2 linked regions of the Oryzias latipes genome follow. The protein of the gene in region 2 interacts with the protein of the main gene of each other region in a pairwise test. Links are inferred from orthologs where the notes say so. Each region holds a gene or a part of one and is shown on either strand. Other genes may lie near its edges.

What was found.
Region 1: the proteins of pex16 (region 2) and pex19 interact in binary tests that used the Homo sapiens proteins (3 or more experiments, as listed by UniProt). The link is inferred for Oryzias latipes from reciprocal best matches to the Homo sapiens genes PEX16 and PEX19.

What each region holds. Positions count from the first base shown.
Region 1 is NC_019875.2:3,245,579-3,249,644, forward strand, and holds the start of pex19 (peroxisomal biogenesis factor 19), read right to left. Parts: upstream 2,808-4,066; 5' UTR 2,780-2,807; coding exon 2,716-2,779; intron 1,643-2,715; coding exon 1,554-1,642; intron 1,451-1,553; coding exon 1,288-1,450; intron 1,205-1,287; coding exon 1,104-1,204; intron 1,041-1,103; coding exon 867-1,040; intron 787-866; coding exon 616-786; intron 55-615; coding exon 10-54; intron 1-9. UniProt on the Homo sapiens protein: Necessary for early peroxisomal biogenesis. Acts both as a cytosolic chaperone and as an import receptor for peroxisomal membrane proteins (PMPs).
Region 2 is NC_019861.2:661,549-665,830, forward strand, and holds the start of pex16 (peroxisomal biogenesis factor 16), read left to right. Parts: upstream 1-1,474; 5' UTR 1,475-1,501; coding exon 1,502-1,700; intron 1,701-1,785; coding exon 1,786-1,821; intron 1,822-4,282. Other genes in the region: cars (cysteine--tRNA ligase, cytoplasmic), read right to left, coding at 1,338-1,359. UniProt on the Homo sapiens protein: Required for peroxisome membrane biogenesis. May play a role in early stages of peroxisome assembly. Can recruit other peroxisomal proteins, such as PEX3 and PMP34, to de novo peroxisomes derived from the endoplasmic reticulum (ER).

The DNA.
Region 1 (4,066 bases), on a different chromosome or scaffold from region 2:
CAAACTTACCACATCTCCTGCCAATTCCTTGGGTGGCTGGCCTAGATCCTGCAGCTATAAGGAGATAATTAAACACAAAACAGTTGAGTTCCTGTCCAAAAAACCAAAAACCTTGCATGTTTGAACTAATAAACACAACATTTTTTGTCCATGGATATGCTTAAAGGCGCATTTTTAATAAGCTTACATTAATAACTTAATTTATAGTATAAATTATAATATAATTATAATGTAGTTATTATCTCTGTAAGAAGATAATAACTGGGAAATTTGTGTTTGAAGGGTATTTTTTGAGCTTACAATATCTAAACTTTTAAATGCTGCTTGTTAGCCGTAACGGCAATAACAGTGTGTGTTCAGTGACCTTTTTAAAATCAGTTTTACAGGGAAACAGTTTAGCCATCAACAGTCCCTAAAGATATTAAAAGAGCTTTGCAACCATCACATCCATAAATGATGGACATCCTGCAGCTGGATCGTCGAAAAAGTGATGTGTTGTGACTTTTACTATGATTCAGAATAATGTGGATGATGTCAAAACAGAAAACATAAAAAGCAAATTTAAATAAACAAATCAATTGTAAATATTGTCCCAAAAGAAAAAAGCTGCATCACCTGCTGCATCCGGTCCATGATGCTCTCAAAAGTTCTCTCTTTGTTTTCTACTCCCTGTTCCTCGGCCTCAAAGAGCTTGCAGATATCTCCCATGACTTTGGATTGCTGTTCGTAGCGGCGGTAGTCCTCTGCACTTAAGCTGGGCTTGTTTGCTTGCAGCCACTCTGGGTACTGTGAAGGTGAGACGTCAACGGTCAAAGCTGGAAGAGTGGATTCAGAGTCTGATGGGTTCAGAGGAAACATCTGCAGACCTTAGTGGTGATTTCTTTGAGAGAAGGATACAGCACTTCTTTAGAGAGCAGGTTCTGCATGATGGACTGCATGACGGGGAGGATGTTCCCATCGTCTCCACCCCCTTCCCCACCCTCATCCAACCCAAGACCCTCAAGAGCCTTAACCAGGTCATCTCCAGCTAGACCTGAAGACTGGGTAAAACAAAACAATTGTCATTATTTTCCTTCAAAAGCTTTACACCAATATTCCTTTACGTCTAAGGAGCCAACTTGGAGGTTGTCTGCATTCTTCGCCAGGCCACGGAGGGTATCCTTCAGACAGGAAGTGAACTCCTGCTGGGAAGCTGTGTCTGTCCCTGTTTGGAGCAAACACGCAACTTAGACTGCAAGACCGACACATTCAGTATAACAAAGATTCACAACAAATAACTCCTCTTACCGACTTTGCCTGCTGCCTCTGACAGTTTCTGGAAGTGCTGCAGCAGTTCTGGCTCCTCCTGGGCCAGCTCGGACATGGCCTTCTCCCACTCGTCCCTGGCCTGGGTCGCCATGTCCCCCTCAAAGAGACTCTCAAAGAGTTTGCAGTCCTCAAGCAGGGGGGGCTACAGGCAGAAATGGAAGACTTGTGAAGATCGTACTATTGATGGGGTCTTTCAGTCCAAGCAGAAGGCAGCTGAATCCTAATGAACAGAAGCAGACACAGACCTTCTCTGCACCACTGCTGGCTGAGGAAGAGGCTGCTGCAGCTTCAGGGGCCGGAGGAGAGGAGGCTTTGTCAAAGTCATCCAAAGCGCCTAAAGGAAAAAGACACAGCAGTAGGCATTTATTATCCAAGCAATATATGAAATATTTGATCGATTGCCTTAAAAAAAAAAGCAATACTTTCAGCTCAGTAATTGTTTAGTTTCTGTTTGGATGGTCAGTCTGTTTTACTTTTGATCAGATAATAAACATAAAATGCAGCAGCAGTGAAGAGGTCAAGCTGACAAAATGATAAGTAAGTAGACGCATCTCAATATTTGGTCCATGAATCGATGCATAAAAGGTTCAACTAACTTTGTGGCGACAGGATAAAGTCCAATTCTTTTGACTAAACAAATACAATCTGAATATTTATTATTCATTCAATGAATATTTAAACCTGCATTGTAGGCTGCTTCGTTTCTTAAATAAAAAGGTGTCATATTAATTTATTCATGTATTGTTTTATGTGATGTGAGAAAAATGGTTATCAGAAGAATTTATAACTTCCTGAACAGTTTAACACATTTTTACCCACACTTGTTTGTATCTGTGGTTTTTCAACCAATTCTACTGCGATTCTCTGTGCTTGATCCCTTTTTGATGAACATCTGTATCTTTCTTTTACATCCCTAGTATAAGTTAAGATATCTATCTATCTTATTTGTCAATAATTTCTATTTTAAAACTAGACCTGAACAATAACATTTAAGAATACAGCAGAAGACAAAACTATAAAAGTAACACAAAGCAACCACAGATGACATATTAGAAGTATTTATAAATCAACAAGGAAAAAAACAACAATAAAATGTTCCTGAAAATTTTGACAATATTGTAATATTGAAAAAATAACAACACCTCTTTAACATTTTCTATAAACTATATCTCTATAATCCACTTTTTTTTAAACAATTAATATCCAAAAACATTTGAAAACGGCTTAAACTGGCTTTATTTTGAAGCCCGTGCGAGCTGTCAGTCAGCGATACTTTGGTAACTGTCACTGCTACCGAGCACCTGAAGCTTATACACGGTCATCAGAAGTGTCCAAGCAGCGAAATCTTCCTAGCAACAGACAGACACGTAAAAGGGTGAACCTAATATTCCTTCCTGACGAACTTACTGTCCAGTAACTCGTCCAGTTCTGCGTCTACTCCACCGGACACCTCTTCTCCTCCGGACGCCATAATGCTAAGACAGCTTTGTCTCACAAAATTGACGTTCTGGCTATAAAAAACGTCGCACATACTCTACGTCACAAGCCCATACCGAAATCTGGCACCACCTGGTGGCGTGAGTAGGCATAACAGCTTTTCTCTGCGGATCACATGCAGGAGGATCAACATGTGACGCTTTGTCCCTCATTTTCGTGACCACCGACCGTTTCATCAACTTAAAAACGTAACAATCAAAAGTTCAGTGGCACAGTTTTATGCTCTGCAACTTAAGTGAGTCTTTTTCGGAAATATTTGTCTTCAAAATGTGCTTGAAGTAAAAAAAATATATATCTATACACCTTTTTAAAAAAGAGATTTTAATGTAATCTGTATATTAAGTTCTTTTTAGCATTTAGCAATAAATGGGTTTATTGGCACTCTCAAAATTTTAAATTAGCATAGAAAACTGTCTTATTTTTAAACTATTGCTGTCATGAAACTACAAAGAGGCTTTGGGAGCTTGACCACTCCTCCAAGATGCAAACGTCAGATAAATATTGGCAAAATGATGCTTAAAGGTTTAATCTACCGTTAGAACTGTTTTTTTATTTAATAAATTTAAATCATATATTCTTATCTTCAGCTGTCCTACAGTTCTTAAACGTATATAGTTGCAAGTAAAACTGCAACAGCAGCAAGAGGACCTCAGTTGATACAGGATGTATTTTATTTTGAAAAGAACTTGCTTTTCTGCTGTCAAAAGTTATCTTTAGAAAAATATAGGACTGGTATGATTCTGTCAATATTAATACCTGAAACATTATATAAATAATGTTAAAATACATTTGATCAATGAATGGTTTAATAGTCACACAGTAGTTATCTAAACATTAAAGTGGGACGTTACGGCTCCTGCTTGGTTTTGGACATTAAAGCATTAAAGGGTGCAGACAGGTGTGATTCCAAACACTGCAACATGGTTTGGCAGCACAACAGTTGGAAGTCAGTCTGCAGCACACGAACATTCCAATCAGTAGTAGTGAAAAGTGTCATGCTGATCATGAGGCACCTATCTGATGCTTGGAGCAGACACTGACCCCTGTAGGAGAGTCCATGCTCTCAGCTGTCTGGCAGCACCGGGAGGCACCAAAAAAAAAAAAAGATGCGATAGAAGATTTTTCTTATAGGTACAGAAGATTTGCCACATTTTTTGTGGGTACAACCAGAGCATGGCGTTTAAAACCACCATTTAACTATTATGCCTGAGAAGAGTTGTTGCACCAAAGTATGAATCTCCTAAATACAATTTTTAACATT
Region 2 (4,282 bases):
TGTATGTACAGCCCGCGACCGGAAGGGCGTTCAGGACGCGGAAGCTCGAAATTCTGATCTGCACCATTGACTGTAGACCGGGAGGAGCCGGCGCACGCCAGAGATGTCTGCAACACTTACAGTTAACGGGATCCAGAAGGAATGAGACCTGAAGAATTTAAAGACAGGATCGGGGCGCGACAACCCGAGTCAGTTCAGCAATCTGATGGAGGGGAAATGATCACTGGGTTCACCAGCTGCAATAGTTAAACCCATGTTCATAAAAACATTTTTTCTATGGGACCTTCAGACACGGATTCAGAGCAGGAATCAGGAACAGCCAATTCTGGCTTTTTGTGCTCGAATAGAGCTTACCTGTACAGGCTTACTAAGGACAGGTAAGGCACAGGTAAAGGTACCTGTACCTGAGGTAGACATAAGCCGAGCCTTAGCAGTACCATACATGACGCCAACCTCAGAGGACTGATAGCGGCACTATCACCTCGAGTCAAAAACAAAACAATCATTGTTGACCAATCGACTGCTGAATGAATCGATAGAGACGGCCTCTAGTTGGAGGGAACCCTGTTCCCAGAAGACTCCGTCTGACAGGAAACTCATGAGAGGAACGCAGGAAGCTACAACCTCAGAACCAGAAGAACCAGAGCTGGGTCGGTTCTAGAGGTCCAAGACAAACACCGAAACTCTGAGAGAACGTTCCTGAACACAATAATGGTTTGAACAGTTTGAAAGAACTTTTGCTTCAATGGATACAATTATTTAATAAACATTGTTAGATATAAATTATTGTTTTAATATTAAAAAGCAGAAGCAAAAGCAAATAAACGCAGTTAGTTACATCAAGAAATCTGATTAAAACATCTAAATATAAAAGGGAGTACACACACGCACGCACGCACGCACACACCCACCCACCCACACCCATACACACACACACAGTAAACCAGCAAGTCTAACTTGGGTAAACCATCAGGTGCAACCCGAAAAAATCAGCAGGTGTAACTGTAACCCGGGTAAAGGTGTATCCGAGTAAATTAGCAGGTTAACCCGGGTAAATTAGCAGGTGTAAGTAACCCGAGTAAACCATCAGGTGTAACCCGGGCAAATCATCAGATGTAGCCCGGGTAAGTCAGCAGGTGTAGCCCGGGTAAATCAGCAGGTTTGACCCGGTGCGGCTGTCATTGATTCCGCTCGATCATCATGTTGTCGTTGGTTGAGCTAGCGCGGCTCCTTAACCCCTCGCGCGGGTTTCATGGTCGCTTTATGATCGCATCTTTAGGACACATTTGGTAATAAATTCATGTCCAACCGACAGTCAGAGGATCTAAACCGCCTACCTGAGTCTCCTGAGCTCGACATGATGAACACAGAGCTAACCGGCAGATGCTGATGCAACAAGAACGTGCCCGGAAGCAGACGGAACCGGAACTAATGCAAGCGGACCTGTTAGCGAGGGGGACGCTAAAGACTGACGGCCCACAACAAGCGGAAGTTTGTTTACATGAGAAAAAGTGGGCTCGAGGCCACAGAAGCGGCTCCTCTCTGCTCCGATCGCCCGGTCAGGAGAATGTCTTGCATGAAGGACTACGTGGACAGAGTGAGCCGCGTTTATGAGCGCTACACGGAGTACGTGAGGAGGAACCCCGCGGCCACGGCGCAGCTGGAGAACACCGTCCGGACTCTGTCCTACCTGATCGCAGGTGAGCCGCGGCTCAGCAGCAGCTTCCGCGGTACCCTTCAATGACCGAGCTGCTTCTAAAGGACACTTTTATTCCGAATCCGCAGGTCGATTTGCTGATTGTCATGAAATATCGGAATTAGGTGAGTTGCTTAGTGCAAAAAAGTCTGCACGTGTGCGCATGCGCGTTGAATGTTTTTTTATTTTGAGGATTTGAGTGAATTCTGTTTTATTACAATGATGAAGGTCTGAAGAAAACTGCTCACATTTAAAAGCTCAGGAAAAAAAACTGTATGTGGATTCAGGAAATGTTTCAGAGAAAAGAAAAAGTCTCCCTGCAGAAAAGCTGCAATTCAAAAATAGCGAGTATATTTGCAAAATAATCGCATTATTTATTTATAATTAGATCACAGTCATTGTAATACATTATTTAAATGTGTGAAACAGCTGATATTGTACTATAGCTTGTAGTTATTTTTTGTTTTGATTTAGTTTAATCTAATGTCTTAGCTAATTAACTAAAACTGTAATCTGAAACAAAGTTGAATAAACGAGCATTTACTGATAAAACTGCAGTATTTTTTAGTGTCCAAATAGAAGGAAGAACAATGACAGACACAGCTGGAAGTGTCTACAGGGCTGAAAAAGTGTCACAAATATCAAAGCTCTGAAAAATGCTTTAGCTGAACGTTTATTCTTCACTAGGAAAGAGTTTGTAAAGAATACATTCTATTTAAGTTTGTACACTACATTCAGTTGTATAAATAAAATCTCCAAAAACGGCAAAAGTAAAAGTACGATAAAAGAACCTCCTGAATGTTTGGGAACCAGAGCTGAAAGCTGCTTCTGGAAAACGTTTATGTTTCTGTTCAGAAACACAGAAGAAGATCTGAAATAAAAATCCCACAAAGAACAGAACATGTTAGCTTTATGACACCAGCAGGGATGGATGGATGATGGATGGATGCATGGATGGATGATGGATGGATGGATGATGGATGGATGCATGGATGGATGATGATGGATGGATGCATGGATGGATGGATGATGGATGGATGGATGGATGATGGATGGATGGATGGATGATGGATGGATGCATGGATGGATGGATGATGGATGGATGGATGGATGATAGATGGATGGATGATAGATGGATGGTGGATGGATGAAGGAAGAAGGTTGGATGATGGATGGGTGAAGGATGGATGGATCATGGATGGATGGATGGATGGATGGAGGATGGATGGATGGATGATGGATGGATGCATGGATGGATGGATGGATGGATGATGGATGGATGGATGGATGATAGATGGATGGATGATAGATGGATGGTGGATGGATGAAGGATGAAGGTTGGATGATGGATGGGTGAAGGATGGATGGATGATGGATGGATGGATGGATGGAGGATGGATGGATGGATGCATGGATGGATGGATGGATGATGGATGGATTGATGGATGGATGGATGATAGATGGATCATGGATGGATGAAGGATGAAGGTTGGAGGTTGGATGGGAGAAGGATGGATGGATGATGGATGGATGGATGGATGGATGATATATGGATGATGGTTAGATGGATGGATGATAGATGGATGGATGATAGATGGATGGTGGATGGATGGATGATGGAGGATGGATGGATGCATGGATGGATGGATGAAGGATGAAAGTTGGATGATGGATGGATGGGTGAAGGATGTAAGTTGGATGATGGAGGGATGGATGAAGGATGATGGATGGATGATTGATGGATGATGGATGGATGGATGAAGGTGGATGGATGGATGATGGATGGATGGATGATAGATGGATGATGGAGGGATCGATGATGGATGATGGAGGGATGGATGATGGATGGATGATGATCGATGGATGACAGATGGATGATGGAGGGATGGATGATGGATAGATGGTGGATGGATGGATGGATGGATGATAGATGGATGGTGGATGGATGAAGGATGAAGGTTGGATGATGGATGGGTGAAGGATGGATGGATGATAGATGGATTGATGGATGGATGGAAGATGGATGGATGCATGGATGGATGGATGGATGGAAGATGGATGGATGCATGGATGGATGGATGGATTGATGAATGGATGGATGATAGATGGATGGATGATAAATGGATCGTGGATGGATGAAGGGTGAAGGTTGGAGGTTGGATGGGTGAAGGATGGATGGATGATGATGGATAGATGGATGGATGATAGATGGATGGATGATAGATGGATGGATGATGGAGGATGGATGGATGCATGGATGGATGATGGATGGATGATAGATGGATGGATGAAGGATGAAAGTTGGATGATGGATGGATGGATGGATGCATGGATGAAAGTTGGATGATGGAGGGATGGATGAAGGATGATGGATGGATGGATGGATAATGGATGATGGATGATAGATGGATGATGGATGGATGGATGGATGGATGGATGATGGATGGATGATGGATGGATGATGGATGGATGGATGAAGGTGGATGGATGGATGATGGATGGATGGATGATAGATGGATGATGGAGGGATCGATGATGGATGATGGAGGGATGGATGATGGATGGATGATGATGGATGGATGATGG